Linked DNA regions of Anolis sagrei. The protein of the gene in region 2 purifies or fractionates together with the protein of the main gene of each other region. This does not show direct contact. Links are inferred from orthologs where the notes say so. Each region holds a gene or a part of one and is shown on either strand. Other genes may lie near its edges.

Region 1 (16,333 bases), on a different chromosome or scaffold from region 2:
TCTGGCAACTCTCTCTCCATGTCTTGCTGGAGTCTACCTTGCAGGATCTTGAGATGATGATGAGGGATGCTATATTTATTTTAATATTTATACATTATTTTAGTAGTTATGCATTATTTTCAGTCTTTATTTTAGTAGTTATACATTAAGACCCTCTCTCTTGTCCTCACCAACTGTACACTTCAGTTATGCAGCAAGCAAATATAAAACCAAACCAAAGGCAGAAGTCAAAACATTCTCATAAATATGGGTTTACCATTGTGGCAATCATTACACACAAACAGTTCTCAAAGTAGCTAATGCTTTGGGAGACAATGACAGGGCATTTGGACAATGGAGCCAGTTCAGCAGAGTTGATGGCGGAAGATCATCGCTTCTATGCTCATAGTCTTTGCTTCTTCCAGCATGCTGACGTTTGTCTGTCTGTCTTCCCAAGAGATTTGCAGGATTTTTTGGAGGAAACGCTGATGGAATCGTTCCAGAAGTTAAGTGTGACGCCTGTAGATGGCCCATGTTTCGCAGGTGTATAACAGGGTTGAGAGGACAAAAACCTTGGTATCCCTACGAACATCACGATCCTCAAACACTCTCTGCTTCATGCAGAAAAATGCTGCACTAGAAGAAGTTTCCCTGTCAAAGGCTTAAGGAAGGAGGCAGAAGGAGCATTTACCTGAAGGTGACTTCGGGTACCAAGCACTTCACTCCATTATGGAAAGGCCGTGTTAAGGAGATGGTTTGGCTGACTTGATCCACAGCAGACACTCTTCCTTGATAGACGCCCAGGCTTTCTCCGCAGTTGATGGAGACAACACTTCCAAGCCAATCTGCAGCCATAGCTTCCTTGATCACTGTAAGAAAAAAATGCTGTCAATGGAATGGGACACTAAAAAACTTCATGTATTGTGATAGCCCCACAGCACTCTACAGACCATCCTCCACATTTGCTTGGGTTAGGAGTGTAGGACCCCAGTAAAATTGGAAAAACACAGTATGATTATTAGGAAATAATAATGAAAATAATAATATTAGAAAGGCATGGGATAAATGGATAAGGCTATAATCGACCCATTTTTCCTTTTAAATCTCAGGTTTAAATAATAATAATAATAACAACCACCACCACCACCTTTGGGATAAATAGGGGACACTATCACCAACCCACTGTCCTTTTAAATGCCAGGTTTAAATAATAACAATAATAATAATAATAATAATAATGGCAATAAAACCTTTGGGCTCAATGGGGGACGCTACCACCAACCCATTTTTCTTTTTCAATGCCAGGTTTAAATAATGATGATGATGATGGCAATAAAACCTTTGGGCTCAATGGGGGACACTATCAACAACCCATTTTCCCTTTTCAATGCCAGGTTTAAATGATAATAATAACCACAACAACATTAATAATTATAATAATGACAATAAAACTTTTGGGCTAAATGAGTGAGGCTTTCACCAACAGATTTTTCCTTTTAAATTCCAGGTTTAAATAATAATAATAGTAGAATCATAGGGTTGGAAGAGACCTCGTGGACCATCAAGTCCAACCCCATTCTGCCAAGAAGCAGGAAAATTGCATTCAAAGCACCCCTGACAGATGGCCACCCAGCCTCTGTTTTAACTCTTCCAAAGAAGGAGCCTCCACCACACTCCGGGGCAGGGAGTTCCACTGCTGAATAGCTCTCACAGTCAGGAAGTTCTTGCTCATGTTCAGGGGTTTATTATAGTTATTATGTTATAATATTATATGCTATAATAATAATGGCAATACAACCTTTGGATTAATGGCTATGCCTGGCCTCCATAGACACACTAATGCAGGCCTGGGCAAACTTGGGCCCTCCCTCCGGGTGTTTAGGACTTCAGCTCTCTCCATTCCTAACAGCCGGGAGGAACTAATGTTTGCACTAATGACTATTATTATTATTACTTTACTGACACAAAAGCACAGTATGTCACAGCAAAAAAGATCTCTATGCTGGATTTTGTATCACAAAAAATCACAAGTCGAACCCTTCCCAAGTGTCTAGGACTGTGTGATGTATTTTCGAATGATGCGCGCAGATCCAAGTCAGACGGCCTTTTGCAGTTGACAGATCGTGATTTTGTCAATGTTTATTGCTTCCAAATGCCGGCTGAGATATTTTGGCATGGCACCCAGTGTGCCCATTATTATCACTGGGACCACCTGGACTGGTTTATGCCAGAGCCTTATAATAATATTATAATTATTATAAATATATAATGTTTATATATTAATATATAATATTAATATAATTAGAAAATGTGGACCATTTCTGCTTCCTTGGCAGTCACCTCTCCACAAAAGTCAATACAACACCGCCTGAGCTCAGAGAGTGCAGCAGTTTTTCCGAATGAAGCAGAGAGTGTTTGAGGACCGGGACATCTGTAGACCAAGGGGCTTGTTTATAAAGCCATTGTCTTCCCAACCCTGCTATATGCCTGCAAGATGTGGACTGTCTACAAACATCAACATTGAGACTGAAATACAACACCGCCTGAGCTCTGCGAGTGCAGCGGTTTTTCCGAATGAAGCAGAGAGTGTTTGAGGACCGGGACATCTGTAGACCAAGGGGCTTGTTTATAAAGCCATTGTCCTCCCAACCCTGCTGTACGCCTGCGAGACGTGGACTGTCTACAAACATCAACATTGAGAATGAAATACAACACCGCCTGAGCTCTGAGAGTGCAGCATTCTTCCAAATGAAGCAGAGAGTGTTTGAGGACTGGGACATCCGTAGGGATACCAAGGTGCTTGTTTACAAAGCTATTCTCCTCCCAACCCTGCTATCTGCCTGCGAAACGTGGACTGTCTACAGACGTCACATGCAACTCCTGGAACGATTCCATCAGTGCTGCCTCCGGAAAATCCTACAAATCTCATGGGAAGACAAGCGGATAAATGTCAGCCTGCTGGATGAAGCCAAGACCACCAGCACTGAAGCAATGCTCCTCCACCATCAACTCCGCTGGACCGGCCACGTTGTCCGGATGCCTGACCACCGTCTCCCAAAGCAGTTGCTCTACTCCGAACTCAAGAACGGAAAACGGAATGCTGGCGGGCAGGAAAAGAGATTGAAATACGGGCTCAAAGCCAACCTGGCATAGACACTGAGAACTGGGAAGCCCTGGCCCTTGAGCGGTTCAGCTGGAGGTCAGATGTGACCAGCAGTGCTGGAGAATCTGAAGAGGCACGAATGGAGGGCGAAGGAGGGAAACGTGCCAAGAGGAAGTCATGTCAAGCCAACCCCGACCGGGACTGCCTTCCACCTGGAAACCAATGCCCTCACTGCGGGAGAAGATGCAGGTCAAGAATAGTCTCCACAGTCACCTATGGACACAACGCCAGGACACCGATCTTGGAGGACCATCATCCTCAGACTACGAGGGATCACCTAAGTAAGTAGCAGTCGACAGATCATGATTTTGGCAATGTTTATTGTTTCCAAATGCCGGCTGAGATCTTTGGGCACGGCACCCAATGAGCCAATGACTACTGGGACCACCTGGACAGGTTGATGCCAGAGCCTTATAATAATATTATAATTATTATAAATATATAATACTAATATAATATCATGCGGTGTGCGGGGCTTGATGAATGCAAAGCTGGAGTGAAAATTGCTGGAAGAAACATTAACAACCTCAGATATGCAGATGACACCACTCTGATGGCCGAAAGCGATGAGGAGCTGAGGAGCCTTCTAATCAAGGTGAAAGAAGAAAGCGCAAAAGCTGGGTTGCAGCTAAACGTAAAAAAAACCAAGATCATGGCAACAAGAATGATTGACAACTGGAAAATAGAGGGAGAAAATGTGGAGGCCGTGACAGACTTTGTATTTCTAGGTGCAAAGATGACTGCAGATGCAGACTGTGGCCAGGAAATCAGAAGACGCTTACTTCTTGGGAGGAGAGCAATGTCCAGTCTCGATAAAATAGTAAAGAGTAGAGACATCAGACTGGCAACAAAGATCCGCCTAGTCAAAGCCATGGTATTCCCTGTAGTAACCTATGGATGTGAGAGCTGGACCTTAGGGAAGGCTGAGCGAAGGAAGATTGATGCTTTTGAACTGTGGTGTTGGAGGAAAGTTCTGAGAGTGCCTTGGACTGCGAGAAGATCCAACTAGTCCATCCTCCAGGAAATAAAGCCAGACTGCTCATTGGAGGGAAGGATACTAGAGACAAAGCTGAAGTACTTTGGCCACATCATGAGGAGACAGCAAAGCCTAGAGAAGACAATGATGCTGGGGAAAGTGGAAGGAAAAAGAAAGAGGGGCCGACCAAGGGCAAGATGGATGGATGGCATCCTTGAAGAGACTGGACTGACCTTGAAGGAGCTGGGGGTGGTGACAGCCGACAGGGAGCTCTGGCGTGGGCTTGTCCGTGAGGTCACGAAGAGTCGGAGACGACTGAACGAATGAACAACAACAATATAATAATATATTATATTATTATAAATATATAATACTAATATAATAATATTTTATATCATTATAAATATATAATATAATAATGTAATATTACATTCTTATAAATGTCTTATATATATATATATAATACATTTATAAGATTGTAATATTACATTATTATATTATATATTGCCTCCCCCATTTAGCCAAAAGTTTGCATTGTCCGTAGTTCATTATATATATATATAAATATAAAATACATTTATAAGATTGTAATATTACTTTATTATATTATATATTGCCTCTCCCATTTAGCCAAAAGTTTGCATTGTTCGTAGTTCATTATATATATATATATATATAATACATTTATAAGATTGTAATATTACATTATTATATTATATATTGCCTCCCCCATTTAGCCAAAAGTTTGCATTGTCCGTAGTTCATTATTATTATTATTATTATTATTATTATATATAATACATTTATAAGATTGTAATATTACATTATTATATTATATATTGCTTGCTTGCATGCTGGTCTTGCGCTGTGCTACTCTGCTGCTGAGTATGCATACCCAGTGTGGAACACATCTCACCACGCTAAAACAGTGGATGTGGCTCTTAATGAGACATGCCACATTATCAAGGGGTGTCTGCGCCCCACACCCCTGGAGAAATTGCACTGCTTAGCCGGTATTGCACCACCTGACATCTGCCGGGAAGTAGCAGCCAATAGTGAAAGGACCAAGGCAGAGACATCTCCAGCTCATCCCTTGTTTGGGTATCAGCCAGCACGCCAACGACTTAAATCTAGACATAGTTTTCTTAGATCTACAGAGACACTCGCTGGAACACCTCAGCAATCGAGAGTCCAAAAGTGGCAGGCTCAAACCCAGCACTTCAACCAATTGCTGATACCAAATGAGAGACCCCCCCCCCCCCCCCGGGCACACAGAAGACTGGGCGACTTGGAAGGCATTGAACAGACCGCGCTCTGGCACCACGAGATGCAGAGCCAACCTTAAGAAATGGGGCTACAAAGTGGAATCCTCGACATGCGAGTGCAGAGAGGAGCAAACCACTGACCACCTGCTGCAATGCAACCTGAGCCCTGCCACATGCACAATGGAGGACCTTCTTGTGGCAACACCAGAAGCACTCCAAGTGACCAGATACTGGTCCAAGGACATTTAACCAACTACCAAACTCACAAGTTGTGTATTTTTCTGTTTGTTTGCTTTGTTCTGTTAGAAATGTAATATAATAGACTGGCTGCTCTGACACGAGAAATAAATAAATAAAATAATATATATTGCCTCCCCCATTTAGCCAAAAGTTTGCAAACTTTTGGCTAAATGGGGGAGGCAGGGGAGGTCACTCAATCTCCTTCCTTTCACAACGAAAGGCCTGGTCCGGCTGGGGCGAGGCCGAGGAGACCCCGGGCGGTCCTTCCCGGGGGAAGGGAGGCCTCCTCCCCGCCCCAAAGGCTCCCAGAAGGGAAGAGAAGGCCCCCAAGCCCTCCCTCGGCCTGCTCCCTACTCTAGGCCGGGGATAAGGCGCCGAGCAGGCCCAAAAGCGGCTCACTCACTCACTGACTCGCTTCTCCCTCCGCTTTTCCTCACAGCGTCTTCACACCGGAAGCGACAAGCCATTGCCCCGCTCTTCTGCGTCACTTCCGCTTCTCCTTCTCTCAGCGCTCACGCAGGCGCAGAAAGGACACGGCACGCCTTTCCTTCTCCAGAGGCGAAGGTGCCACTCGCAGCACGCATGCGCAGAAAGCCTGCTCGGCCCCTGGAAGCGGCTGACTATTGGACTACAACTCCCATCAGCCCCAGCCGTTGCGACCCATGGTGTGGCATCATGGGGGTTGGAGTTCAACGCTTCCTTCTTGGTGTTAGAGGAGTAATAGTCTCTCTACAACCACAGCAACTCCTGAATTGATCTGAAACACCTTGAAAAGTTCCGGAGTCGAGGGCCAATCATCATGATCGATCATGATTACCAGTTATTAATTACTAATTATAATTATATTATAGTGCTTTACTAATAATACAATATAATAGATTGTGTGTGTGTATATATATATATTGTTGTTGTTGTTGTTCATTCGTTCAGTCGTCTCCGACTCTTCGTGACCTCATGGACCAGCCTACGCCAGATCTCCCTGTCGGCCGTTACCACCCCCAGCTCCCTCAAGGTCAGTCCAGTCACTTCAAGGATGCCATCCATCCATCTTGCCCTTGGTCGGCCCCTCTTCCTTTTGCCTTCCACTTTCCCCAGCATCATTGTCTTCTCTAGGCTTTCCTGTCTCCTCATGATGTGGCCAAAGTACTTCAACTTTGTCTCTAGTATCTTTCCCTCCAGTGAGCAGTCGGGCTTGATTTCCTGGAGGATGGACTGGTTGGATCTTCTCGCAGTCCAAGGGACTCTCAGCACTTTCCTCCAACACCACAGCTCAAAAGCATCGATCTTCCTTCGCTCAGCCTTCCCTAAGGTCCAGCTCTCACATCCGTAGGTTACTACAGGGAATACCATGGCTTTGACTAGGCGGATCTTTGTTGCCAGTCTGATGTCTCTACTCTTCACTATTTTATCGAGACTGAACATTGCTCTCCTCCCAAGAAGTAAGCGTCTTCTGATTTCCTGGCTACAGTCTGCATCTGCAGTAATCTTTGCACCTAGAAATACAAAGTCTGTCACGGCCTCCACGGTTTCTCCCTCTATTTTCCAGTTGTCAATCATTCTTGTTGCCATAATCTTGGTTTTTTTGACGTTTAGCTGCAACCCGGCTTTTGCGCTTTCTTCTTTCACCTTGATTAGAAGGCTCCTCAGCTCCTCCTCGCTTTCGGCCATCAGAGTGGTGTCATCTGCATATCTGAGGTTGTTAATGTTTCTTCCAGCAATTTTCACCCCAGCTTTGCATTCATCCAGCCCCGCACATCGCATGATGTGTTCTGCATACAAGTTAAAAAGGTTGGGTGAGAGGATGCAGCCTTGCCGTACGCCTTTCCCAATCTTGAACCAGTCTGTTGTTCCGTGGTCAGTTCTGACTGTTGCTACTTGGTCCTTGTACAGATTCCTCAGGAGAGAGACAAGGTGGCTTGGTATGCCCATCCCACTAAGAACTTGCCACAATTTATTATGATCCACACAGTCAAAGGCTTTAGAATAGTCAATGAAGCAGAAGTAGATGTTTTTCTGAAACTCCCTGCCTTTCTCCATTATCCAGCGGATATTGGCAATCTGGTCTCTGGTTCCTCTGCCTTTTCTAAACCCAGCTTGAACATCTGGCAACTCTCGCTCCATGTATTGCTGGAGTCTTCCTTGCAGGATCTTGAGCATTACCTTACTGGCATGAGAAATAAGGGCCACTGTACGGAAGTTTGAGCAGTCTTTCGCATTTCCCTTTTTTGGTATGGGGATATAAGTTGATTTTTTCCAGTCTGATGGCCATTCTTGTGTTTTCCATATTTGCTGGCAAATGGCATGCATCACCTTGACAGCATCATCTTTTAAGATTTTAAACAGTTCAGCTGGGATCCCGTCGTCTCCTGCTGCCTTGTTGTTAGCAATGCTTCTTAAGGCCCATTCAACCTCACTCCTCAGGATGTCTGGTTCTAATTCATTCACCACACCGTCAAAGCTATCCTCGATATTGTTATCCTTCCTATACAGATCTTCTGTATAGTCTCGCCACCTTCTCTTGATCTCTTCAGCTTCTGTTAGGTCCCTGCCATCTTTGTTTCTTATCATACCAATTTTTGCCTGAAATTTACCTCCAATGTTTCTAATTTTCTGGAAGAGGTCTCTTGTCCTTCCTATTCTGTTGTCTTCTTCCACTTCCATGCACTGCTTATTTAAAAATAGTTCCTTATCTCTTCTGGCTAACCTCTGGAATTGCGCATTTAACTGGGCATATCTCCCCTTTTCACTGTTTCCTTTTGCTTTCCTCCTTTCTTGGGCTACTTCCAGTGTCTCAGCAGACAACCATTTTGCCTTCTTGGTTTTCTTTTTCTTTGGAACGTACTTTGTTGCTGCCTCCTGAACAATGTTGCGGACTTCTGTCCATAGTTCTTCTGGGACTCTGTTTACTAAATCTAGTCCTTCAAATCTGTTCTTCACTTCCACTGTATATTCGCTAGGAATGTTAGTGAGATCATATCTAACTGGTCTGTGTATTTTCCCTGAACTCTTTAGTTTTATTCTAAATTGGGCAATAAGAAGTTCGTGATCTGAGCTACAGTCAGCCCCAGGTCTTGTTTTCACCGACTGGATGGATGTCCGCCACCTTTGACTGCAAAGGATGTAGTCAATCTGATTTCGGTGTTGACCATCTGGTGAGGTCCATGTATAAAGCCGTCTTTTAGGTTGTTGGAAGAGAGTATTTGTTATACACAGCGAGTTTTCCTGGCAAAATTCTATCAACCTGCGTCCCGCTTCATTTTGTTCTCCCAGACCATGCTTGCCTGTGATCCCTGTTGTCATTTGACTTCCCACCTTGGCATTCCAGTCTCCTGTAATGAAAATAATGTCTCTTTTTGGTGTATTATCCAGTAGTTCCTGCAGATCCTCATAGAACTGATCTACTTCTGCTTCTTCAGCAGCTGTGGTTGGGGCGTATATTTGGATCACTGTGATGTTGAAAGGCTTTCCTTGCACTCGAATTGAGATCATTCTGTCATTTTTTGGGTTGTATCCAAGCACCGCTTTAGCGAATTTCTTATTAATTATGAAGGCTACTCCATTTCTTCGATGTTCCTCTTGTCCGCAGTAGTAGATCTGGTGGTCATCTGATGTGAAGTGGCCCATTCCAGTCCATTTCAGTTCGCTGACCCCCAGAATGTCTATCTTTAGTCTTGACATCTCACCAATAACAACATCCAATTTGCCCTGGCTCATAGATCTTACATTCCAGGTTCCTATGGTGTGTTGATCTTTAGAGCATCGGATTCGTCGTTCACCTCCAGTACCGTCGGCCGCTAGCCTTCCTTTCGGCTTTGAGCTAGCTGCGTCATCACATCTGGGGCTACTTGAACTTATCCTCTGCTCCTCCCCAGTAGCATTTTGGCCATCTTCCGACCTGGGAGTCCCATCTTCCAATGGCATACCGACATATCTCTGGTTGTACTGGTCCATTTAGTTTTCTTGGCAAGGATACTGGGGTGGTTTGCCGTTGCCTTCCCCAGGGATCACGCTTGGTCTGACCTCTCTGCCACGACCGTCCCGTCTTGGGTGGCCCTTCACGGTTTCACTCATGACATCATTGAGGTGCTCAAGCTCCAGCGCCCCGACAAGGCGGTGATCCTTTGCTGGAGATATATATATATATATATATAATATTAAAGCACTTTAATATAATTATAATTAATAATTATTAATATTATATTGTATTACATTATAATATTATAAACATTATATGTATATACAATATATTACATTATTAGTAAAGCACTTTAATATAATTATAATATATAATATAACTAATATTAGTACTGTATTGTATTACATTATAATATTATAAATATTATATATATATATATATATATAATATTTATAATATTATAATGTAATACAATACAGTACTAATATTAGTTATATTATATATTATAATTATATTAAAGTGCTTTACTAATAATGTAATATATTGTATATACATATAATGTTTATAATATTATAATGTAATACAATATAATATTAATAATTATTAATTATAATTATATTAAAGTGCTTTACTAATAATATAATATACTGGATATGCATATAATATTTATAATATAATGTAATACAATATAATACTAATAATTACTAATTATAATTATATTAAAGTGCTTTACTAATAATGTAATATATTGTATATACATATAATTTTATAATATAATGTAATACAATATAATACTAATAATTACTAATTATAATTATATTAAAGTGCTTTACTAATAATGTAATATATTGTATATACATATTTTATAATATGATAATGTAATACAATATAATACTAATAATTACTAATTATAATTATATTAAAGTGCATTATTAATAATAATATATAATATATTGTGTATACATATAATATTTATAATATTATAATGTAATACAATATAATACTAATAATTATTAATTATAATTATATTAAAGTGCTTTACTAATAATATAATATATTGTATATACATATACTATTTATTATACAATACAATACAATATAATAATAATACATTATTATATTTTATATTACATGTAAAATTACTAATAATATTACAATATAATGGTATAGTACAATGTAGTAATATATAATATTGATACTGTGCTATGCTAATATATTGTATGTATATGTATCTTGTAAGCTGCTCTACTATACATCTTTATTTATTTATATTTTATATAATATAAACATAAAATAAAACATTATATATATTGTAATATAAACATAAAATAAACCATAATAATATATAATATAAATATTTATTTATTTATTTATTTATGACATTTATGTGCTGCCCTTCTCACCCCTTTGGGCATATAAATATAGTAAATAAATAAATAAATAAATATATTATATATTATATATTATTATGTTTTATTTTATGTTTATATTATATGCTTTATTTTATGTTTATTTTATATTATGTATATATTTTGATTTATATTATATATTATGGTGATATTGTCCTTTTATTTTTAAAGCATCATGGACTGCTGCAGCCATAGAAATACAGCAGGCTCTCAGTTAACCGGCATCTGTGGTGGAGACTGGACAAATATTGTTTCTGGTTGCTTGAGAGTTGCTTATAAAATAGACCTAATACTATACCATCGGATAAACTCTGTATTGACTTGATGTTAATATTGAATGTGGATGTGGCTCTTAACGAGACATGCTTTATCACAAATGTAAACATGAGTCCTCAGTAAGATAGAAAGCAATTTTTATTTATTTTATTTACAGCATTTATATACCGCTTTTCTCACCCCTAGGGGGACTTAATACTTTTTATTAATATCTCAACAATATTCATAATGCCTTACATATAACTCTGGCTTCATGGAGGCTGATTATATATATATATACACATACATACACACACATACATAGAAGTGTCTTGCTTATCCAACCTTTGCTCATCCAACGTTTTGTCTTATCCAACGCAGTCTACCTTCCACCCGGAATAATGTCCAGGGTGGGACATTATTGTGTGTTTTGGTACTAAATTGGTAAATACCACAATTTCTACATAATGTTGCCATGTACTGAACTGCTTTTTCTGTTGATTTGTTGTAAACCAGGATGTTTTGGTGCTCAGTTTGTAAAATTATAATGTAATCATAACGTATTGTCGAAGGCTTTCATGGCCGGAATCACTGGGTTGTTGTAGGTTTTTTTGGGCTATATGGCCATGGTCTGGAGGCACTCCCTCCTGATGTTTCGCCTGCATCACCTTGATTAGCATATAATGGCCTGAAAGTTTGCTCTAGGCACTGTCAGGCAATTATATGCTAATCAAGGTGATCAGTTGAAACATTCACACCTAGCTCCAGCAGGCAAGGGTCCTTTGTCCCACCTTGGTCATTCCACAGATATATAAACCCCTTTTCCTAGTTCCAAAACACCTCAGTACCTCTGAGGATGCTTGCCATAGATGCAGGTGAAACGTCAGGAGAGAATGCCTCCAGACCATGGCCATATAGTCCGAAAAAACCTACAACAACCTAATCATAACGTAATTTGACGTTCAATAGGCTTTTCCTTAATCCCTCCTTATTATCCAACTTTTCTGCTTATCCAACATTTCGCCGGCCCGTATAAGCAAGACCTGTGTATATCTATAGACAGACAGCAATAGGAGAGATATATCAAAACAATTGCATCAAAATTCTTGGCAATGACAATAGCATTTGAGGAAGGATTTCAAAAGGGAAAGAGCGTCGAAACTATATAAAGCACTCCAGATATCATTGGGCCATATAACAGAGCCCATTATTCCTGTAAGCAGGGGTCGGTGGGAATATGTGTGTATATGTGTATAAGTCTGTTTGCATATATATGTGTGTGTGGATGTGTGTGTGTGTGGTTTTGCGCATGCGTTGTAAGTTTTGTTTTTTGGCTTTTGAAGTTTCTTTTGCTGTGTTTTTCAGTGTTTGTATGAGTGATGGTCACTTGTTGGCCTGATCGGTGTATTGTGTCCAAATTTGGTGTCAATTCGTCAAGAGGTTTTTTAGTTCGTTAACCCCACAAACGAACAATACATTTATATATACAAGCTAATGATAACACCAAAAAATCATTTTTTAAATTATCTCTTTTGTAAAAACTGAACATTGGATTAAAAGAGTTTAAAAGCACATCAAAGCATAGTGAAAATGAGACAAAGGATAACATAAAATGAAGCCACGTTCTTCTCTTTCTATAAAAAAGAAAGCAGAACCTGAGCCCCGTTGGAAAAAGTTAAATGAATATTTGATTAATTTTATTTAAACCTCCCATTTCCTCATTTTATTTACCACTAGCTGTCCCCTGCCACTCGTTGCTGTGGCCCAGTCTGTGTATAAGTGTTTTCTGTGTGTATATATGTGGTTTTGCGCATGCATCGTAATGTATTTTTATTTTTGGCTTTTTAAGTCTCTTCTGTTGTGTTTTTCAATGTTTTTATAAGGGATGGTCACTCGCTGGCCTAATAGATGTATTGTGTCCAAATTTGATGTCAATTCGCCCAGTAGTTTTTGAGTTATGTTAATCCCACAAACGAACATTATATATATATATATACACACACACACACACACACTAGCCATCCCTTGCCACGTGTTGCTGTGGCCCAGCCTGTGTATATGTGTTTTTTGTGTGTATATATGTGTGTCTGTGCATGTGTGTGTGTGTGTGTGTGTATATGGTTTTGCGCATGCGTTGTAATATTTTTTTTGGGTTTTTTTTGCTTTTTCAGTCTCTTCTGTTGTGTTTTCGGTGTTTTATGAGTAGTGGTCACTCGTTGGTTGATAGGTGTCTTGTGTCCAAATTTGGTGTCAATTCGTCCAGTGGTTTTAGAGTTATGTTAATCCCACAAACAAACATTACCTTTTTATTTATATAGGTGTGTGTGTGTGTGTGTGTGTGTGATGGAAGGTTTTCATGAGAGATGTTTTATCCTCATACATTGTGTTATTATAATGTATCTGTGTCCGTGTCTCTTCGAAGGGGTTAATTCAGGCATGGGCAAGCTTCGGCCCACCACCAATCTCATGATCAATTGCTGAATAATGTTGGCTGCTAGGACACCTCATCTATATCCATAAGGCACCGTTGAAGCTTCAACAAATGTTTTGGGCACCTAGGTGCTTGCTTATCAACCATCTTAAGGCGAAACCCATACGCCAAAGTTGAAATCCTCAATCCATGCGTTCTAGACAAACTTGAGCTCAAAGTCTTGTCCGTATAAGCAACAAGAGGCTTCCCAACCTCTGCTTCCAATTATTCAAAGTAACTTTATGTGTATCTGCAATGGTTCACCACATCAGAGTTCCACTTTGTATTGCAACTGCAAATGATGTGATGTCGTGTTAGTCTTTGCACTGAATGCCTCAGCTTGCCCCAGGCAACCCGTTCACTCCAAGGTAAATGATGGCCTCCCCGTTCCCAGCCCGATGTCTGCCAATGTCTACTTTTAGAAACGGGTCTTGATCTGGAAGTGCTCACACCTCTTGAACTTCATGCTGAGTCCATACTGAGGAGTGAAATCCACCTCTTTCCCGGGGTGTATGCTGAACTCCAGCTTCTGGACCAAAGTGGTTAAGAAGAGAAAGATCTCGCATCTGCCGATGTTTTCCCCGAGGCACCTCCTTCTCCCTAAGCCGAAGGTCAGGATCTTCTCGCTCTCGGTTCGGTTTATTCTGGACCCGTTTGCAGCCAGAAAGCGCCCTGGGTTGAAAACAGAAGGGTCTTTCCAAAGTTTCCTGGGAAAAAAGGGGGACAACACAGTCGCCAGTCACTTTCGAGTGCCATTATTGAGGAAAAGATGGGAAATAAATGAATAAAATCATCATCGCAATCATCTTAATCATCCTGCACTCATTTTAAATCGTAATGTTCTGTGTCTTCCAGTAACTTCCAACTTGAGCCACAAGGAAAGGCAGGTAAGAAATAATAATAATAATAATAATAATAATAATAATAATAATAAAAACAAGAAGATTGTGCAGACAGACTACAAGCAGAGGCACAACACCGTTGCTCAGATGATCCATTGGAACTTGTGCCACAAATACAATCTGCCTGCGACAAAGAACTGTTGGGATCACAAGCTGGAAAAAGTTACAGAGAATGAACACGTCAAGCTATTCTGGGACTTCTGGATTCATACAGACAGAGTTTTGGAGCATAATACTCCTGACCTCACTATCGTGTTAAAAAACAAAGTATGGATCGTCGATGTCGCAATCCCAGGTGAAAGCAGGATTGCAGAGAAACAACTGGAAAAGCTGACATGACATGAGGATTTAACGATCAAATTGCAAAGACTCTGGCACAAGCCAGTCAAGGGGTCCCAGTGGTGATCGGCACACTGGGTGCAGTGCCTAAAGACCTTGGCCTGCACTTAAACACAATCAGCACTGACAAAATCACCATCTGCCAGCTGCAGAAGGCCACTTTACTGGGATCTGGGATCCCAGTAAGGGATAGTTATTATTATTTAAAACACAACAAGATGAGTCCACAGCAGACAAGATCACTCTGCTGGCTGTTGTATTGGATCACATGTCGGACCCTTCCCAAGTGTTTAGGACTGTGTGATGTATCGGCAAATAATGTGTGCAGATCCCAGTAAGGTGGCCTTCTGCAACTGACAGATGGTAATTTTGTCAGCGCTGATTGTGTTTAAGTGCAGGCCAAGGTCTTGAGGCACTGCAGCCAGTGTGCCAATCACCACAGGGACCCCTTGATGCACACAGATCCAAGTCAGGTGGCCTTTTGCAGTTGACAGGCCGTGATTTTGTCAATGTTTATGCAAAGGCCCTGGCATAAACCAGTACAGGTGGTCCCAGTGGTCATCGGCACACTGGGTGCCGTGCCAAAAGAGCTGGCATTTCGAAATAATAAACATTATTATTATTATTATTGACACAAAAGCACTGTATGTCACAGCAAACGAGATCTCTATGCTGGATTTCGTATCACAAAATCACAAGTTGAACCCTTCCCAAGCGTCTAGGACTGTGTGATGTCTTTTCTAATGATGCGCGCAGATCCAAGTCAGGTGGCCTTTTGAAGTTGACAGATCGTGATTTTGTCCATGTTTATTGTTTCCAAATGCTGCTTGAGATCTTTTGGCATGGCACCCAGTGTGCTGATGACCACTGGGACCACCTGGATTGGTTGATGCCATCAGAGCCTTTGCAGTTCGATTTTGAGGTCTTGATAGCGGCTGAGTTTTTCCTGTTGTTTTTCCTCAATGCGACTTGTCATCCGGTATGGCAACATCAATCAGCCAGACTTTTTTCTTTTCTACAATCGTGATGTCTGGTGTATTGTGTTCCAAAACTTTGTCAGTCTGGATTCGAAAGTCCCACAGTATTTTTGCATGTTCATTTTCCACGACCTTTGTAGGTTTATGATCCCTTTACCAGTTCTTGACTCTTGGCAGGTTGTCCTTGTGACATAAGTTCCAGTGAATCATCTGGGCCACAGAGTTGTGCCTCTGTTTGTAATCCGTCTGTGCGATTTTCTTGCAACAGCTGAGGAGATGGTCCATGGTTTCATCTGCTTCCTTGCACAGTCTGCATTTTGGGTCATCCACTGATTTTTCAATCTTGGCCTTAATGGCCTTGGTTCTGATGGCTTGCTTCTGGGCTGCAAGAATCAGGCCTTCTTCTGTCTCCTTCAGGGTTCCATTCATGAGCCATCACCAG
Region 2 (16,264 bases):
GGCCCTAAATCCAAACTTAGACCATTTGGGCCTTTACACTTCATGATAAAAATCAACACTTGAAACTGGACTGAGAAATAATTGGAAATCAAATTTTTCTCTGTAAAACTTTGTACATGAATGCTGGTTTAAACTCAGGAATGCTGTTTACAACTCTTCAGCTACCAATGTTATGTTTTATTCGTAGGTTTCATTCTGTGGAATTTCTTCAGCAGAATGTGATTCAGGGGGATTAAAGTGTCCCATCTACTTGGAAGTTAAAATATTCCATATGAAATCCCCTCTTATTACAAAAACATTCCATGTACAGTACATTGAAAAACTGAATGTATGCAAAGAGATCTTGGAGCACCTTAAGAGACTGAGAGAAGGAAGTTGTTAAAATAACCTTTTGTGAACTAAGGCTGATTTACACTGTAGAATTAATGTAATTTGGTGAGGCACAAACACAATTTGGCAAAGAAGGCTAAAGACCTTGTAAAACTACAAGCCCCGTGATTCCATACATAGCACTGAGCTGTGACCATTAAAGTGGTACTAAACTGCATTAATTCTACAGTGCAGATGCACCCTAAGCTACTTTCTTGATGTTGAGAAACCCAGCATCAGAAAGAACTCAAGTTCTTTCTCCATCTCTAATCTAAACTTATGTAAAATGAAAAACATATTTACTATAATCTTTATAGTAGAAATAGGGGAAATACCTATTGTTGTGTGATCAAATACACTCTTGTGAAATGGAACATACATTCCATGAGTCCTCCCTATAGTTGTTTTGTGCCCCCGCCCCCTGCATGCCTACCTCCTTCTGGGAGGTTCTCTAAACCTGCTGATTCAATCCAGGAGGAGTTATAGGGAGCTAAAGGGAGAGTTGGAATCAATTTGACTGATAGAAGATGCTCTGATGAAGCATAGTAATTGTTACATGCAATCTATACCTCATTATTTTGTCAGCAGATAACAATCCTTTCTCCAGTGATTAGCTTCCAATTTATGAATCAGCTCCAGTGGTTGTTTCCCCATCCAATACTCCACATATATCTATTGCTCCCTTCTTACTTGTACTGAATATGAATACTAACACCATTGTTATCCAACAACTGTGGAATCTGAAGTTGCCAGGCACCTGGGCCAAGATAGTGAGGTATGGTAGAACTTGGCTTGGTGGAATTTGACCCTGGCCTAAGTCTAATACTAACCAGTTATCCAGACTAGTTCAAAATGCCTTGGAACCAGTGTAAGGAAACTACTGCTGTCAGATCAAACCTATTGATCTGTCATTTGCACATGTTTAGTAAAACAACTGTTTTACTAAAAATGCTGCTCCATGCCCCAAAGGTCCACTGAGGTCCAAAATCATGGTGAAATACTCCCTCCTTCTTTCAGCTGTGCTTCTACAGGGATTTTTAAAAGCAAAAAATTCAGGCAGCAGGAGATGCGACTCTTCAAAGTCCCATTCCCATTACATAAAGCTACATGTTATTTTAGCCTTGAAGAATACTAGACTGCAGTGTTTTTCCATCAGCTACTGTATAACAACAGGCTGTTACAAAATAAAAATAACTGGCACGTCTGAAAAGAAATGTTACCAACTCAAATAAATACAAGTTAGAACAATTAAAATGCCTGTTTGTATATACAATAGATATACACATAGCAAGCTTGCAAACAGGACAGACACGACTCCCTCCAGGGCAGGACCTTATTTAATAAAGAATAGAATGTATAAAAGCATTCAGAGAAAGGAATGTACATAAACGACGCATTCCTCTTACCCTTTGCCATGACTGGAGTTCAAACCATAGGAGTTATTGCTATCACCATTTGTAATGGTTGAAGAGGCAACTACTGAGGAGCAAGAACCTGCTGATGATTTTGAAGAGGTAGCTAGATTTCTGCTTGTTGCAGTGCTTGATCTGGGAAAAAAAGAAGAAGCTGTCATACTTTCCAGATTCTTTGTGTGTGTTTGTTATTTTTCCAGAATAGTAATTTAACCTATTGGGTATTTCTGGATTTCCAACAGAGTAAGACAGAAAGACTGAGGTACCAGATAAAGTGGAGCATTTTCAATTATACAGGACAAGTACTAGGGATTCAGTTTCATTCATTCTGTGTGAAATTTTTCTACAGTGAAAATAACAACCACATTTAATTGCCAAAGCCTTGAATACAGTAGCCAGTTTCAGATATGATAAAGGACTCTGTAAAATGCCACTTCCAACTAAAAGATTGCTGAATCACAGCTTAGAAACCCTATGCTTGTACCAGGTACTGAAACTCATTAATTTAAACCTCTTGCTTCTCCCAAAAGTATAGTTTCTCTTCTCAGTAGTGACATGCATCTACTGGCTCACGTGCATTTTTAAACTGGCATAAAAGATAGCAAGTATTATTTCCGATAATTTGCAATTGATTCCTAGGTACAGTTTAACAATGAAGTCCCCCAAGTAGAGGTTCATAACACCAGTCTTTTCAATGTACACCACCATTCTAAAGGAAAAAAGACACTTGTCAGCTGGACACTGCGCCAGAGCTTTTAAGTTAGTGTCTTTTAACAGTTATTGGTTTAATTTATAGCCTGCCTTTCTCCCAGTACAGTAACCAAGGCAGAATGTTAGTTTGTAGCAAGTTCAGAAACAAATAACACTGCAAAAAACTCCCAAAAGTTAAGGAATAGCTTGATTAATTTCTTTTAAACTCTGAAGCAATCCCAACATTGCCACACTGTGTTTACAGCAGGAGCAGCAAAGAAGAAAAAGACAACGACAACAAAATGAAGCAGCTTTAGACACTACCTTAAAATTAATTATCTAACTCTTTTACGACATTTTGAAGAATCTAACAGTGATTTTTATAAAAATGCACAACCAAACAAAGTTGATTCACCTAGTTATAATATATAGCTCAAGTGGTTGAAAATGACTTGGGAACAGGCTCAGTTAAGAATGAAGTAGTGTTTAGAATAAACAGCCCTTTCCTTTGAAGAAATTGCTGAGCATTTCACTGCATCTAAAGAAAAAATATTGTTCCTGTAATGTAGAAGTATAATTCAATTATTTAAGGCTACATAAAATAAAACTTAAAAGGGAGCCCACTTTGTGTACTAGTTTTTTGCCCAAATTATATTCCTCAGACTTAAGAGTCTTAAATAATTAAACACCGAAACACCGAAACAAAACAAAATACAATGAAAACACAGTTGGGAAAAAAATGAAAAATAAGTCAGAACAATGCCAGGTTGAATAATGATATCTCCCAGAGCCAATTCTTCACTGAGCAATTGTATCGAAAGTGAAAAGAAGAAATGTTTACTTTGTCTGTGAAGATTGTCTTGGCCAACTGCCATCTTCATTCTTTATCTCTATTAATACTACCTAGAAATGAAAAATAAAAAATAACAGTGTTGTGATTTTTAGGAGAATGTACAAAAAACAAACAAATTAATGCTTTCTTAAGAAAGAACTAAGCGAAAACAGTTTCTAACCGCCTACAAGTAGCTCAATAGAGATAGAGGAGTCACTGCCAAACTGATTTCAGTGACAAATGTTAACACCAATAATTTTAAGGGTCTAACTAAATCTGCATTCAAATCACTTTTTTTAAAAAGTGCAATCAATACTGATAGTTTACAAGGGTAGTACTAGAATTGATACAAGATACCAAAAATTCCATCATCACCACCAAAACATTTTAGGATACAACAATAAAAGTATTTAGATTTCTTACCTGTCCCTGATAGAGACCTGCATCTTGTATAGTGCTGTCAAGTTTGCTTAGTTGTTCATAGGTATTACTCATATATCTGCTCCATAATCTAATTTCTTTTCCATCAGGAATATTAAACTGTTTCCTCATTTCTTTTTCAATGGTAGCTGAAGAGAAAAAAAAAACTCACACCATGTATTTTTAGCAGCTGCTAATAATGGGTTATTAAAAATGCAATCCTTTCCCACACTTTCTTGCTGGCACAAAATACATTTTAAAAGTTCACATTCATCTGAATTACTTTGCACTATTATTACTGGTCTAACATATGTAGAATGGTTTTATATTAATCTAATAATCCTGGGTCCTGGGATCATAAATTGAAGATTGGAACATATATTTAAATTTAGAAAGTTTTGAATTTAAATTTCACGGCATAAACTATTTGTATATTCTCATTCTAAACATAAGAAATCTCTTTTTCCCTTCAAAATAAACCTATTAGTTTTTTCCTAATCCTAAAACCCATAATGTTCCAAAATCTAAAACTTTCTTATATCAGTGTCCTGCTTTCTTGCAGATGGTAGTTGCTGCACTCCTGCCTGTTTTTTGAAAGGTGGAAGTGGGCAGCTGGTAGGCTGCTCAGAGATCTCTTGTACAGAACTGTACTCCCAGTTCCCCAAATGTCACTTCACTTTTATCATCAGTCCAGTCACACACCCCATACACAGCACAAGTAGCAAATGAATGAGACCAAAGATTGGAGTGATAATATGCAAACTATCTGTATAATGGTGGAGGTGTGGATTTGCATCAAGCACTAAACTTGGATTCCCGCCATTACTCAGATATATCAAAATCTGGTCCCAGGCATTTTGGATAAAAGATACTCAATCTATATTACTCTCCAAGCAGAATTTTTTTAATGCAAGAAGAACATCTGAAGTTCAAAATAGCCACTAGCAGTAGCTAAGGTCAAAAGATAAGAACTGAAATATAGCAGCACATTACTTTGCAATGATATATGTATATCAGACAAACAGCATTTACCATTTTACAGGAAATTAGCTATTTTCAACAGAATGTAAAGAATACTACAAGGCACCCCCAGAAAATAGCAAACTATTCCTGCTCTGTATAGTTTTCTAAAAAATTATTATAAGGCATGTAGAAGTGTTGAAAGAGGACTTGTGGCATTAAGAATGACTCACCCACAGTATCTGCTTTGCTGAAATAAGAGCTTACAAGATTAGTAGAGTCGTTGTTTTGACATAGCTTCAACTCCAAAAGATAAACCTCTACTTTACAGTGCTTCACAAACAATCCATACTCCACAACCTAAGAAGAAAAAACTTTTTGTGAGACAGGTACAAACATCTAGACAGCAAAATATTTTATGAAACCAGCCCTTCATTTTCACTTCTATCACATTTTTAATGGATATAAAATCTGTAGCAAATTATTCTTGCTCAAATCCACTCATTTATAAACACATTGTCAGTCATTTTATTTATCTAAGCAAAGATTCTATAAAACTGCATGTTCAGTTCCCAGTAGTCTTTAGCCATACATATCTACTGGGGAGGGACAGCTGCCTCTTTTTCTTGCTCTCAGATATCTTCCCAGGACATTATAAAGAGTGGAACCCTGAAAAATGTACAACACTTTGCAAATTTCAGACAGATACAAGGGATTTAAATTAAAGAAGTTTGTATTTTTAGAAAAGGTGCCACAGAATCCTTGTGTTTTGTGGCCAAGTTGCACAAACACTTACAAAGTTAAGATGCTCCAGCATTTTTTTTAATCCCTGAAAATTTTCAGGAGGACAGGTGGAGGAGTTGTGACCAATATGTGACCAATTGAATGGCAATAACATTACAAGAAAAGTGTAGGAAGCTGCCAGGACAGTGATAGATATGTACAGGTGGGAAAGGCAGAACACAGCTGGTTAGAATTACAACTGAGCAACAACTCCCAAGACTAGACTCTTCTAGTCCTATATAAAAGTCAGAAAAGTGAAGGAAAGTCAATGCAGACATGTCTGTTTCTTGATCAGAGAGAAATGCACACAGTTAGACAGGAATTTTTGAAAACAGAACTCAATGGGATTTATTTCTGAACCACATACAGACAGATTGCACCAGAAATCATACTAGGATCACAAACACTTACTTTCCTCACAATTGGCTTCTGTCCCTCTATACAGCCATACCAATTTACTAACTTATTCCAGGCTTCAGTAGGAACCAACACATAATCCAATTCATCAATAAGGTGCTCTTTCAAAGTCTGAGTTTCTGAATCTAAAAGGAAATGGAATAAGTTACACTCAGAAAAATGAGCAAACAATTCAACACACAGCCATCCTTCAAAGCAGCAGCCAAACAGATACCTTTGAAAATCTTCACAGGCAATTCAAATAGTCATGCCCATGTGGAGTGTTACTCAGAAACCATTACCTTGTGTTCAAAAAATAAAACATCTAATCTATTCAAATACATTTTCAAACTGTGTGATATTGAAGGCTTCCTAAAATTGTACCGCACAGAACTGGAAGATAAAGCAAATAAGAATTTATAAAACTAAAGGACACATACTATTTTTTTCATAATGGTATGCAGCAATGGACATGATCTTCCAGCCTATAGGACCAAACTGACCCACTAGACTCAGCCTACAAGTAATGTTCCTCTCCTAAGTTCTGCTACTTGTTTTGGAGTGATTCTCCCACAGGCAGTTTGCCATTCCAACTGGGAAAACAAGCTGCAGGCCAGGGAGAATCCTGCTGTTGTCACTGATCTCAATGGAATGTGAAATAAAGCCTTGGTATTACCAATTTATGAAGCCAGTTTCTACTTCTTTTTGCACATAGAAGAAAAGCATGATTTCTAGGAGAAAGAAGAGTCAGATGACTGCCCCCTCTCCACGTACACAGATTGGTCCTCAGGGCAAACTTCCCCCACCCTTGATATAGAGAGTTTCTAAAGAAAACAAGTAATTTAGTACTGCTTTCTGCCAAATTCATGACAGTCACAACTTTCTGTAAAATGTGTCATCTTAAACCTATTGAAGGCCTGTTCAAATATTATTTCCAGCTGACTCTAGTTTCCCTTTCACTTTTCCCTGGAAGTTCCCTGAAAGGAGGAGCAACACTGAAATCCAAGCCCAAGGATCTTCAGAATACTAAGGGGGGCAGCAAATGAAAAGATATTTAGATTTTAAGTGCGTCACTTTACCAAGTTCAGCATATCACAAACCTGATCCTTGCATCAATGTTAGAAAACTGATTGAGAACTAAAGCTCTAAGAAGGAACTGATTGAGACATCCAAAGATTGCAAAACACATATGTCTAAACATCTGAAGTTCAACGGCCCACTAAATATACCAACTTATGAAGGGGCTGTGATCATATCTGCCACCAGCATATGTCTTCTTTAGTTCTCTTTCTGTTTTTATGTAAGAAAAAAAAACCCTCACAATCAGCACTAAGTGAAGGAATGGAAGGTGAGCAAACAAATGGCAGTAAGGGTGTGAGAAGCAATTGTTGAGACACTAATTTAAGGGTGGAATCTCTCCTCTCGAATTCAAAAGCAGTTTGGATTGCAACACTTGCTAGAAACCAATTATAACTTCCACAACCAAGAGTTTATTACAAGGGAGGTCCAAATATTACTTCAGAATTAGGAAAACACGCCTAGAAGAGGCTGGAATATGAGGGCATAAAGCCTCCAGATATATTCGCCCTTGCCAAACCCACACAACCTACCCTCCCCAACCCTTTTTATTTCCCCCCAACCATGTTTACCTGCAAAAAGCCCTGAGTTGTCAATGGGTCCTGGGTAGAGATTAGGCTCCCCCACATTATACAGGTCCCAGCTGTCAAAGCCCACGTACTTCTTCCACTGCTTGAACCACCGGCTGTCAATCAGGTACCTACAATTATGAAACGAAAAATGCACCGAGGTGAGTGTGCGTGGGGCGGCCCAAGATTCAGGAGAGAGGGAAGGAAGGAAGGACGGGAAGGCATTGCTAAGGGTCGACGGGGCGGTGACTCAGCAGCACCCCTTCGGGGCAGCCGGCTAGGGAGGGAGGGAGGCAGGAGGAAAGAAGAAAGGTCCTTCAGGGCCGCCGTCCCGCGCGCACTGCTCCCTCCTGCCCAGCCCCCTCCCTCCGGCCGCGCGCGTGGCCATTCGGAGGCCAACGGCCCCCGCGGGGAAGGGGGGGAGGCGCGCGGCCTAGCCCCGAGCCAGCCCTCCTCCTCCTCACCAGGACTCCCCCGGGCACAGCGGCGTCCCCAAAAGCGGCGTGAGCTCAGCCCGCTGCGTCCCCGCGTCCGGCCTCGGGCTGGCCGTGGCTCCTCCGCCGCCGCCGCCGCCGCCACCGCCGCCGCCCTCGAACCCTGCTTCGGCGGCCGCCATGACGGTTGCGCGCGCTGCTGCTGCCGGCCGGCCAGTTCTCCTCTCCTCTCTTCTCAACTGCGGCTCGCCTTCTTCGCCCGTCGCACGCCCAAGGGCGGCACTGCGCATGCGCGACCTCGACGCCCAGGCCCTGGCGGATGAGAACGGCAGGCCGCCCGAGAGACCCGGATTCAGCCTGGCCTTGCGCGAAGAGGGCAACGACGAGGGTGCCCGCCCGGGTCCATCTGCACCGAAGAGTGGGTGCGGTTTGGCAGCTCTTTCACTGACATGGCTTCATGCGCTGGAATCCTGGGAGCTGTAGTTTGGTGAGGCACCCACACAATTTGCCTGAGGAGGCTGAAGACCTTGTAGAACAGCACCTCCCTTGATTCCACAGCATGGAGCCATGGCAATTAAAGTGGTGCCAAACTGCATTTATTCTACAGCAGGCCTGGGCAAACTTGGGCCCTCCCTTCAGGGGTTTTGGACTCCAACTCCCACCATTCCTAACAGCCTCAAGCCTCCTTCCTTTTGCTTAAGCGACTGAATGGGAAAAAGGAAGGGACCTGAGGCTGTAAGGAATGGTGGGAGTTGGAGTCCAAAACATCTGGAGGACCCAGATTTGTCCATACCTGAGCGACAGTGTAGATCAGGAGTCCTCAAACTTTTTAAACAGAGGGCTGGGTCACAGTCCCTCAAACTGTTGGAGGGCCGGATTATAATTTGAAAAAAAAACCCATAAATTCATATGCACAGTGCACATATCTTATCTGTAGTGCAAAAGACACTTAAAACAATACAATAATTAAGATGAAGAACAATTTTAACAAATATAAACTTATTAGTATTTCAATGGGAAGTGTGGGCCTAGTTTTGGCTGATGAGATACGATTGTTGTTGTGTCCTTTCAAGTAGTTTCAGACTTAGGTTGATCCTGAGCAAGGGCCGGGTAAATGACCTTGGAGGGCCACATCCGGCCTCTGGGCCTTAGTTTGAGGACCCCTGGTGTAGATGCACCCTTGAAAAACTTTTTAAAAGAGTCTCTTAAACTGGACTGTGATCAGAATCATGTAACTGGGATGTGAAACTGGGTTGCTGGCCATTTTCCAGAAGCATTGTCTCCTGATGCTTCGCCTGCGTCTATGGCAGGCATCCTCAGAGGTTGAGAAACTGGAAGTTGCTTCTGGTGTGAGAGAATTGGCCGTCTGCAAGGATGTTGCCCAGGGGATGCCCAGATGTTTTACCATCCTGTGGGAGACTTCTCTCATGTCCCCACACAGGAAGCTGGAGCTGATAGACAGGAGCCCACCCTTCTCCCCAGATTTGAACCACTGACCTTTTGTTCAGCAGTCTTGCAACTAAGAGTCAGGCAATAGCTAGTAAGTGAATTGTTGTGAGAACAGTCTGTTTGGCACTATTGTTAGTTTTATGACTGGTTGAAGTATCCTGTTTCTTAGGCCCCTTCCACAGTTATATAACCCAGAATATCAAGGCAGAAAATCCCACAATGTCTCCTTTGAATTGAGTTATCTGAGTCCATATTGCCATATATTCCAGTTCAAAGCAGAAAATGTGGAATTTTATTCAGCTGTGTGTAAGAGACCTCTTATTTTTCCCCATAAATATAGTAGAACTCTATGTGAGATACCAGCTCTCCTTCCATTTGTATTAAGCTTATATTTAAGCCATAGCTTCTGGCTCTCATTGCTCACCTGTCATCATGTCACAGTAATAAGCAAGCTAGGTTTAGAATTTACTGGTTTGGGGTATTTAATAACTAGCAGCTTATACTAAAACAATGGCATATAAAAGAGGCATAACACCTGAATAAATCTCCACAAATTTCAACTCCAGAAGTGTCACCAGTTTTACAAATATATAAAAAGGCAAATGTATTTAGTTCTGAAAAGCTCAGAGGATATATGCTAGGTGAGTCTTCCTACAGAGATTTCCCCATCTATGTAATGTGTTGTACAGTCAGGAAAGCTCTCTGCTCTGTCCTTTCAGCTTTGGGTTTCCAAAACTGAAAGGGAGGGCTTTAGGCAAATTTGTTTCAGTTGAGTATGGAAATTGAAGCAGATGACAATGTTACTCTGTATATGCTACCCACTCCTCTGATCTAGTTTGGCTTTTATATTCTAACTTCAAGGAGGGCTATTTCATTTTAACTGTTCAATATATTGTGCTGTTGGAGGTGAAAGACTCTAGCTCTTAGGGCATCTTGGAAAAGGTAGTAAGATATTCAAGATGGGGTGTTTTTGTTGTTTTTTAAAAAACTTAACTAACCAATTTGATCAAGACAGAAGTGAATAATAATGTAGACTGCAGACTCTGAGATCATTGTAAATATAGTAGTAAAGTGTCCTCATCATGCATTATCTGAACAAAAACTGGAACAAATAAGTGAATTTGTGTTGCAATACAAATAGCTCAGTTATAGCTATGGTTTTCAAGCATTTTATTGTTTGACAATGATTTTCACAAACTGCTGCAGTCAACTGTTTTCCCAATTTAATTTACTATAGCTTCACACAAACTTTTAGAAGATCAGGTGCTTTTCAAGGCTTTAGAAAAAGCACCATCATGAATAAAATTTTGATAGAGAATAGAAAATTAATATCAAGAAAACAGCTGACAAGTCATAGAAAAATAAGCAGTGCAGAAAAGGACAAAGTCTGGTACTCAGGAGTATTGCTGCTTCACAAAGTATGATTTTAAGCCATACATGCTACAGCACATTGTGTTGATACTAAACTGTAATATTTGAAACACATATCTGGAATGTTTAATGTGTATGCGGACTAGGGATGAACAAAAGATTGATAGACTTAGCAGAGATACTATGCTGTAATGGGTACCTATTAACTTTATAGCACATTTAGAAACCACAAGACATAAGTGTCACCTTATGCCTTATAGGTGAGAGGAAATAGCTAAAGGTACAATTCACATTATAGCATAAAAACAAACTGCTCAATTTCAGAAAAGCTTTGCTGTTGTAATTCACATACATAATTTCCCTTCACACAATGAGATTGCTGTGTTTAATATGGGACATACAATAAATGTACTGTAACATGGGAATTAATACATTCAACCCTAGGGTAATTCTAGCTGAAAGCAAAGAGGTGGAAAGACATTTCAGCAAGATATAATATGGTTTGCTCTAAGGAACTTGTTGAAGCAGCTTTTCAATATCATCCTGGATCTTGATGGTTTCAAAGCGCCTGCTGTAGCGTTTGAATGGTTTCCCATCCGGACCAATGAGGAATTTTTCAAAATTCCATGCGATGTCATTGCGGCACACAGGAGACCAGATGATGTTCTGTGGGTGTGTCATCAGAGACACAGCGTCATCATGTGGGTATGGCAATTCTTCTTTCAGGAATTTGAAGAGTGGGTGAGCATTTTCCCCATTGACCTCACACTTCTCAAACACAATGAAGTTAGGCTCATACCCATTGCCTGGGCGGACATACTTCAGTGAGTTCAGGATCTCCTCATTGGTGGTATTCTCCTGTTAAAGGATAGAGGGGACACAATCTTAAATCCACAGCTCAGCAAATAGCATTTAATCCTTTGCTTCCCTCCAAACTTTGTCACTAGTAGTTAGATGAAATATAGCCAAAATATATTCTTATATACATTCCAATGGACTGATATGCCAGCTTTTCTACTTGCCATTGAAATTATGGAATTTTCAAATTTTTAAAAAATGTAACCTATTGCAGCATAAAAAAGATTTCATAAGATTTTATTGCCACAGCACTAACTTGAAGTTTTCGGTTTCTAACAGAAACTACAGTTTGAAAACGGAACTACATTTAGGGAACAGTTATCTGCATCCTCCAATACAGGAAAAACCCATAACATATTGCCCAATTGATCATAAGTATATTGGGGAGATGCTGCAGAAAGCATACTAGATGAATCCTTTCCTAGGAGTAAGCTATATACTGAATAATAAATACAGAATTTGACAAAAACTCAGACCCAAACCTGGGCAGGCCTATCTACAGGTTAATATGAGTGCTCTACTTTAACTCTCTCAGAAAAAGAACAATTCCTGCTCTGAGCAGAGTGGCAAAAGGTAACACCTTATTTATTTATTTCTTATACTTGTACCCTGCCCTTCTCACCCCTGAGGGGGGACTCGGGGCAGCCTCACAACAAACAACATTCGGTGCCATCATAATGATAAAAACAATCAACAAATTCATTCAAACAAAACATTAAACAGTTGTTAAAACATGCCAATTAAAATCCGGGTCCGGGTGAATTCATTATCACTTCAAAACTGCTTATGTCTTCTTCATACAAGCCGCTATTCAATGGTCAAACGCAAGGTCCCACAGCCAAGTCTTGAGCTTCCTTCTAAAGGACCTTAGCCTGCTCTGGGAGAACCTAAAGCGCTACTAACCCTCTCTGCTCTCTCCATCATGGTGCTGTTTTTAACAGAGGTGGCTGGCCACTGAGGCTACATTGGTGCTTTCTTCTCTCTGCAGAATGACCCTCAACTTATCCACCTGTCATATCAAAATCCATAGTTTTGGCCCCAAGACCTGCCCTCAACGTATACATGACATTGACCTATACATGAGTATATGCAATAATAATCTGATCCAAGCTCTTTCAACTGAGGGGGTCATACAGCCTTCCAAGGAAAACATGTGAATTGACCCTGTCCAAAGTAAAGGGTACATTTCACCTCAAGTTTTTCTTCTGCAGCTTTCCAGCCTAGTCAAAATGTAACTGCTTCAAGTTGTTAAATCATGTTGTTGCATGCAGGATTCTGGTACTTCATTTCCTTCCCTGCATGATGTGTTTAAAGTGGATTTTTCTCAGTCTCACCACTATCACAGATACATTTAGTGAGATTTCTTGGCAACTGCTCCAAGGTTGTGACCCCCTCCCACCCAAACTTGTGGTTAGCGTGGTTCCAGTTCAGTTGTTTTCTTCTGCTAGCAAGCAAGGGCCTTTTTATTTAAGAAGGTCTTTGGCTCTTAACTCATGTGACAGAAGGGAAGCTTTAATGAGGCACATTGTACTTTTATTATATTTAGCTCAATCTTAATTTAATTAAGTGCCTAATCTTTGTACCAATAATTTTTAAGTTTTGTACTAGAGGGTTTTGCTATTTGCTATAAACCACCTTAGGTCCTATGCTGTGGGGGGGGGGGGGTGGAGGATGTGATTGGCATCTGTATTTAAGAGCATCTGTGGAAGTGGAGTATAATTATTGGTTGTTTATATTGACATTGTTCTGTTAGTTTTAAAGAGGCTGCAATACTCCCTTTTCCTTAAATCTTGCAGTAGCTAATGCATTAAAAGGGCTTGGCTCACCTTTTCTATCAATAGAAACAACATACCTAAATTGAAACATTTCTTACTGACCCACACATCATGGAAGGACTTCAGTGGGTAATGTTGAATAACATGTACTATATTTGGATGGTTTTATGCAACTGGTCTTAAAACAGTCTGCCATGCTTTGTCCTTCCAGAATAACTAGGTATCCACAACCGAGGGTGGACATCTGAGTTTATCCCTTTTTAAAAATATATATATTCCTCTTTGTGTTTGCTAAAAGGACCCCAACCACCAGCTCCATCCCTATTCAGCATCAAAGACACCTTGATAGATAAACCCACTGCTAGAACATATAAAAGCTTGATTTTCCAAGTCTGGAATCTATGGCAGTGTGGACTTAGATAACCCAGTTCAAAGCAGATATTGTGGGATTTTTGGCCTTGATGTTCTGGGTTAGATGTGGAAGGGCCCTGAGAGAGCTGGAAGAAGAGCATGCGGATGGCTTGAGAAAGTGTGGAAAGTCGCAAAAACAATCCTGTTTCTAGAACCTGAATTATAGCCAGATTTCCCTTCAACTCATTTGACAAACTAATGATGCGAGAACCTAGGAAACTGAGTAACTTTTACCAAAAGTGCTAGAAATATCATGTTTTCAAAACTGCAATAAGAGACAGTTGAAATTCATGGTATGTTGGGTAACGTTCAGAAAAGCGCTATCAAGAGCAACCAGAAAGCAGCTACAGGCAGAGCACCTCTTATCTGAAATGCTTGGGACCAGAAATGTTTTTTTGCTGATACTTATGTACATTTTGGTGTTGGGACCCAAATCTAATCAGAAAGTTTATTATATTCCATATATGCCTAACGGTAATTTATGCATCATTTTAAATCTAATTTTGTCCATGAGAGAAAAGTTTGTGTGCACTGAGTCAGCTGAAAGCAAGGGTGTCACTATCTAGGGATTGTGGCTTATTTCAAAATTTTGGCTGAAGGATGCTGGCACCTGTATCAACATGCTGTTTGTGCTTGGTAAATTCCAAATGAGTGATTCAACTAGCTATGCATTTGTCTGCAAAATAAAATAAAATGACAGGATGCATCTCTCTAGATCCGGAATGGGCAAACTTTGGGCCCTCCAGGTGTTTTGGACTTCAACTCCCACAATTCCTCACAGCCTCAGGCCCCTTCCTTAAGCGGCTGAGGGGGCAAAGGAAGGGGCCTGAGGCTGTGAGGAATTGTGGGAGTTGAAGTCCAAAACACCTGGAGGGCCCAAGTTTGCCCAGGCCTGGTGTAACTGCACCCAAAGCTGTGCCTGCCCATATAAAGAAAGGGGGTTTGGCATCTCTTTCAGATATTATATAAAAGGAGGAGCTTCCCAGCTTTCCAGTAAGGGATGCCTGGCACCAGCCCTCTCTGGCAAAGAAGGCTAAAGACCTTGCAAAACCACAACTCCCAGGCGCCTTTGGCATTTGAGCCATGCCAGTTAGAAGCAGCGCCAGAGCGTGGGTATCCCTGCAGTACTGGGTTCCGCCAGGAGGGGCGCACGGCCCGCCTCTTCCCACTCATTCAACTGTTCGAAGAGCCGAACTCACCTGGTGGCCGAACTGGTTGCAGGGGAAAGCGAGCACGACGAACCCTCGGGGCCCGAAGCGCCGCTGGAGCTCCGAGAACTGCGTGTAGTCCCGGGTGGTGGTGCCTCAGAGGGAGGCCACGTTGGAGACCAGCACCACCTGCCCCGCGAAGGAGCCTAAGTCCACGGACTCCTTCGCTCCCAGCGGTCGCGCCATCAGCCCCGACAAACCACGCACAGACAGACCAGCCATCACTACAGCGCTTGTACGAACCACGCAGCAAATGCAAGCAGCCAAGCGCGGGCCTGCCTTTTATAGCACCATACAAGCCCCGCCCACTAACGCACAAGCTCCGCCCACTCTCCTTGACCTTGTAGCCGGCGGCACTTTTTGCAACCTGGCCGTATTGAGTTGAGAGAGTCCTGCGCATGCGCGACTCTAACTTCCCTCAAGGGGCGCCTTTGTTGCTTCCCGACCATTACACTGGAGACCGTGCAATTTGGCCATTACTTAAAGCTCGTGTTTTCTCTCCCTTGGTTTCATTGAACCCTGCTTTTAGGAGCAAAGTACAATTTACCTCAAACACGCCTTCTGAGAAACACAATCTCATCTCTTTTGCCACATTACGGCATTAAGGCGGTTGGCAAAGATGAAGATGCCACTCCCCAATGAGCCCTTCCTTTTTTCGGCCGAAAGAAAGAACAAAAGTTGGTGATGTGCTTCAGTGGCACCATGCCCTTTTTAATAGAGCGCCTTCTGTGCCTTCCAGACTTCTCTAATCCTGTGCCCCTTCTACCCTGCCATATAAAATCCATATTATCTGCTTTGAAATGGATTTTATGGTAGTGTAAACTCATATAATCCGGTTCAAAGTGGATAATGTGGAGTATCCACTTTGAGAATCTGAATTATGTTGTAAAGCAATGCTTTCGGGCTGGACGCAACTGCTCAGCATGCCTGCCCCGTCTGGCATAAATCTGCCCATGCAAAGTGGGTGAATATCACTGAATGAGACACGAAGAACACTCACAGGATGTTTGCAACCTGCACCTGTTGATAAGACTATAAACTAGCTGGCATTGCCCCCCCCCCCCCCCCCGGCGCGGATGTGTGACAAGAAGTTGCTGCCACTTGCAAGAGAAATAAGGTTGAACACTGTGAAAGCCACCCACTGCATGGCTATCAGCCTCCTCCCAGGAGACTTAAATCAAGGGAAAGTTTCATGATAACCACCACTCCTCTAAATGTTCCTGAGTGCTTCAGCTGGAGGTCAGCTGTGA

Evidence for each region.
Region 1: the proteins of USP4 (region 2) and EDC3 purify together in Homo sapiens (co-immunoprecipitation; 3 studies listed by BioGRID and IntAct, with this or other methods). This does not show direct contact. The link is inferred for Anolis sagrei from reciprocal best matches to the Homo sapiens genes USP4 and EDC3.

What each region holds. Positions count from the first base shown.
Region 1 is NC_090029.1:21,431,857-21,448,189, reverse strand, and holds the start of EDC3 (enhancer of mRNA-decapping protein 3), read right to left. Parts: upstream 6,129-16,333; 5' UTR 6,091-6,128; coding exon 6,027-6,090; intron 849-6,026; coding exon 671-848; intron 1-670. Other genes in the region: cytochrome P450 1A5-like, read right to left, coding at 14,092-14,380. UniProt on the Homo sapiens protein: Binds single-stranded RNA. Involved in the process of mRNA degradation and in the positive regulation of mRNA decapping. May play a role in spermiogenesis and oogenesis.
Region 2 is NC_090022.1:75,210,502-75,226,765, reverse strand, and holds the start of USP4 (ubiquitin carboxyl-terminal hydrolase 4), read right to left. Parts: upstream 8,329-16,264; 5' UTR 8,233-8,328; coding exon 7,973-8,232; intron 7,640-7,972; coding exon 7,512-7,639; intron 6,009-7,511; coding exon 5,878-6,008; intron 5,044-5,877; coding exon 4,917-5,043; intron 3,873-4,916; coding exon 3,727-3,872; intron 3,375-3,726; coding exon 3,313-3,374; intron 1,917-3,312; coding exon 1,776-1,916; intron 1-1,775.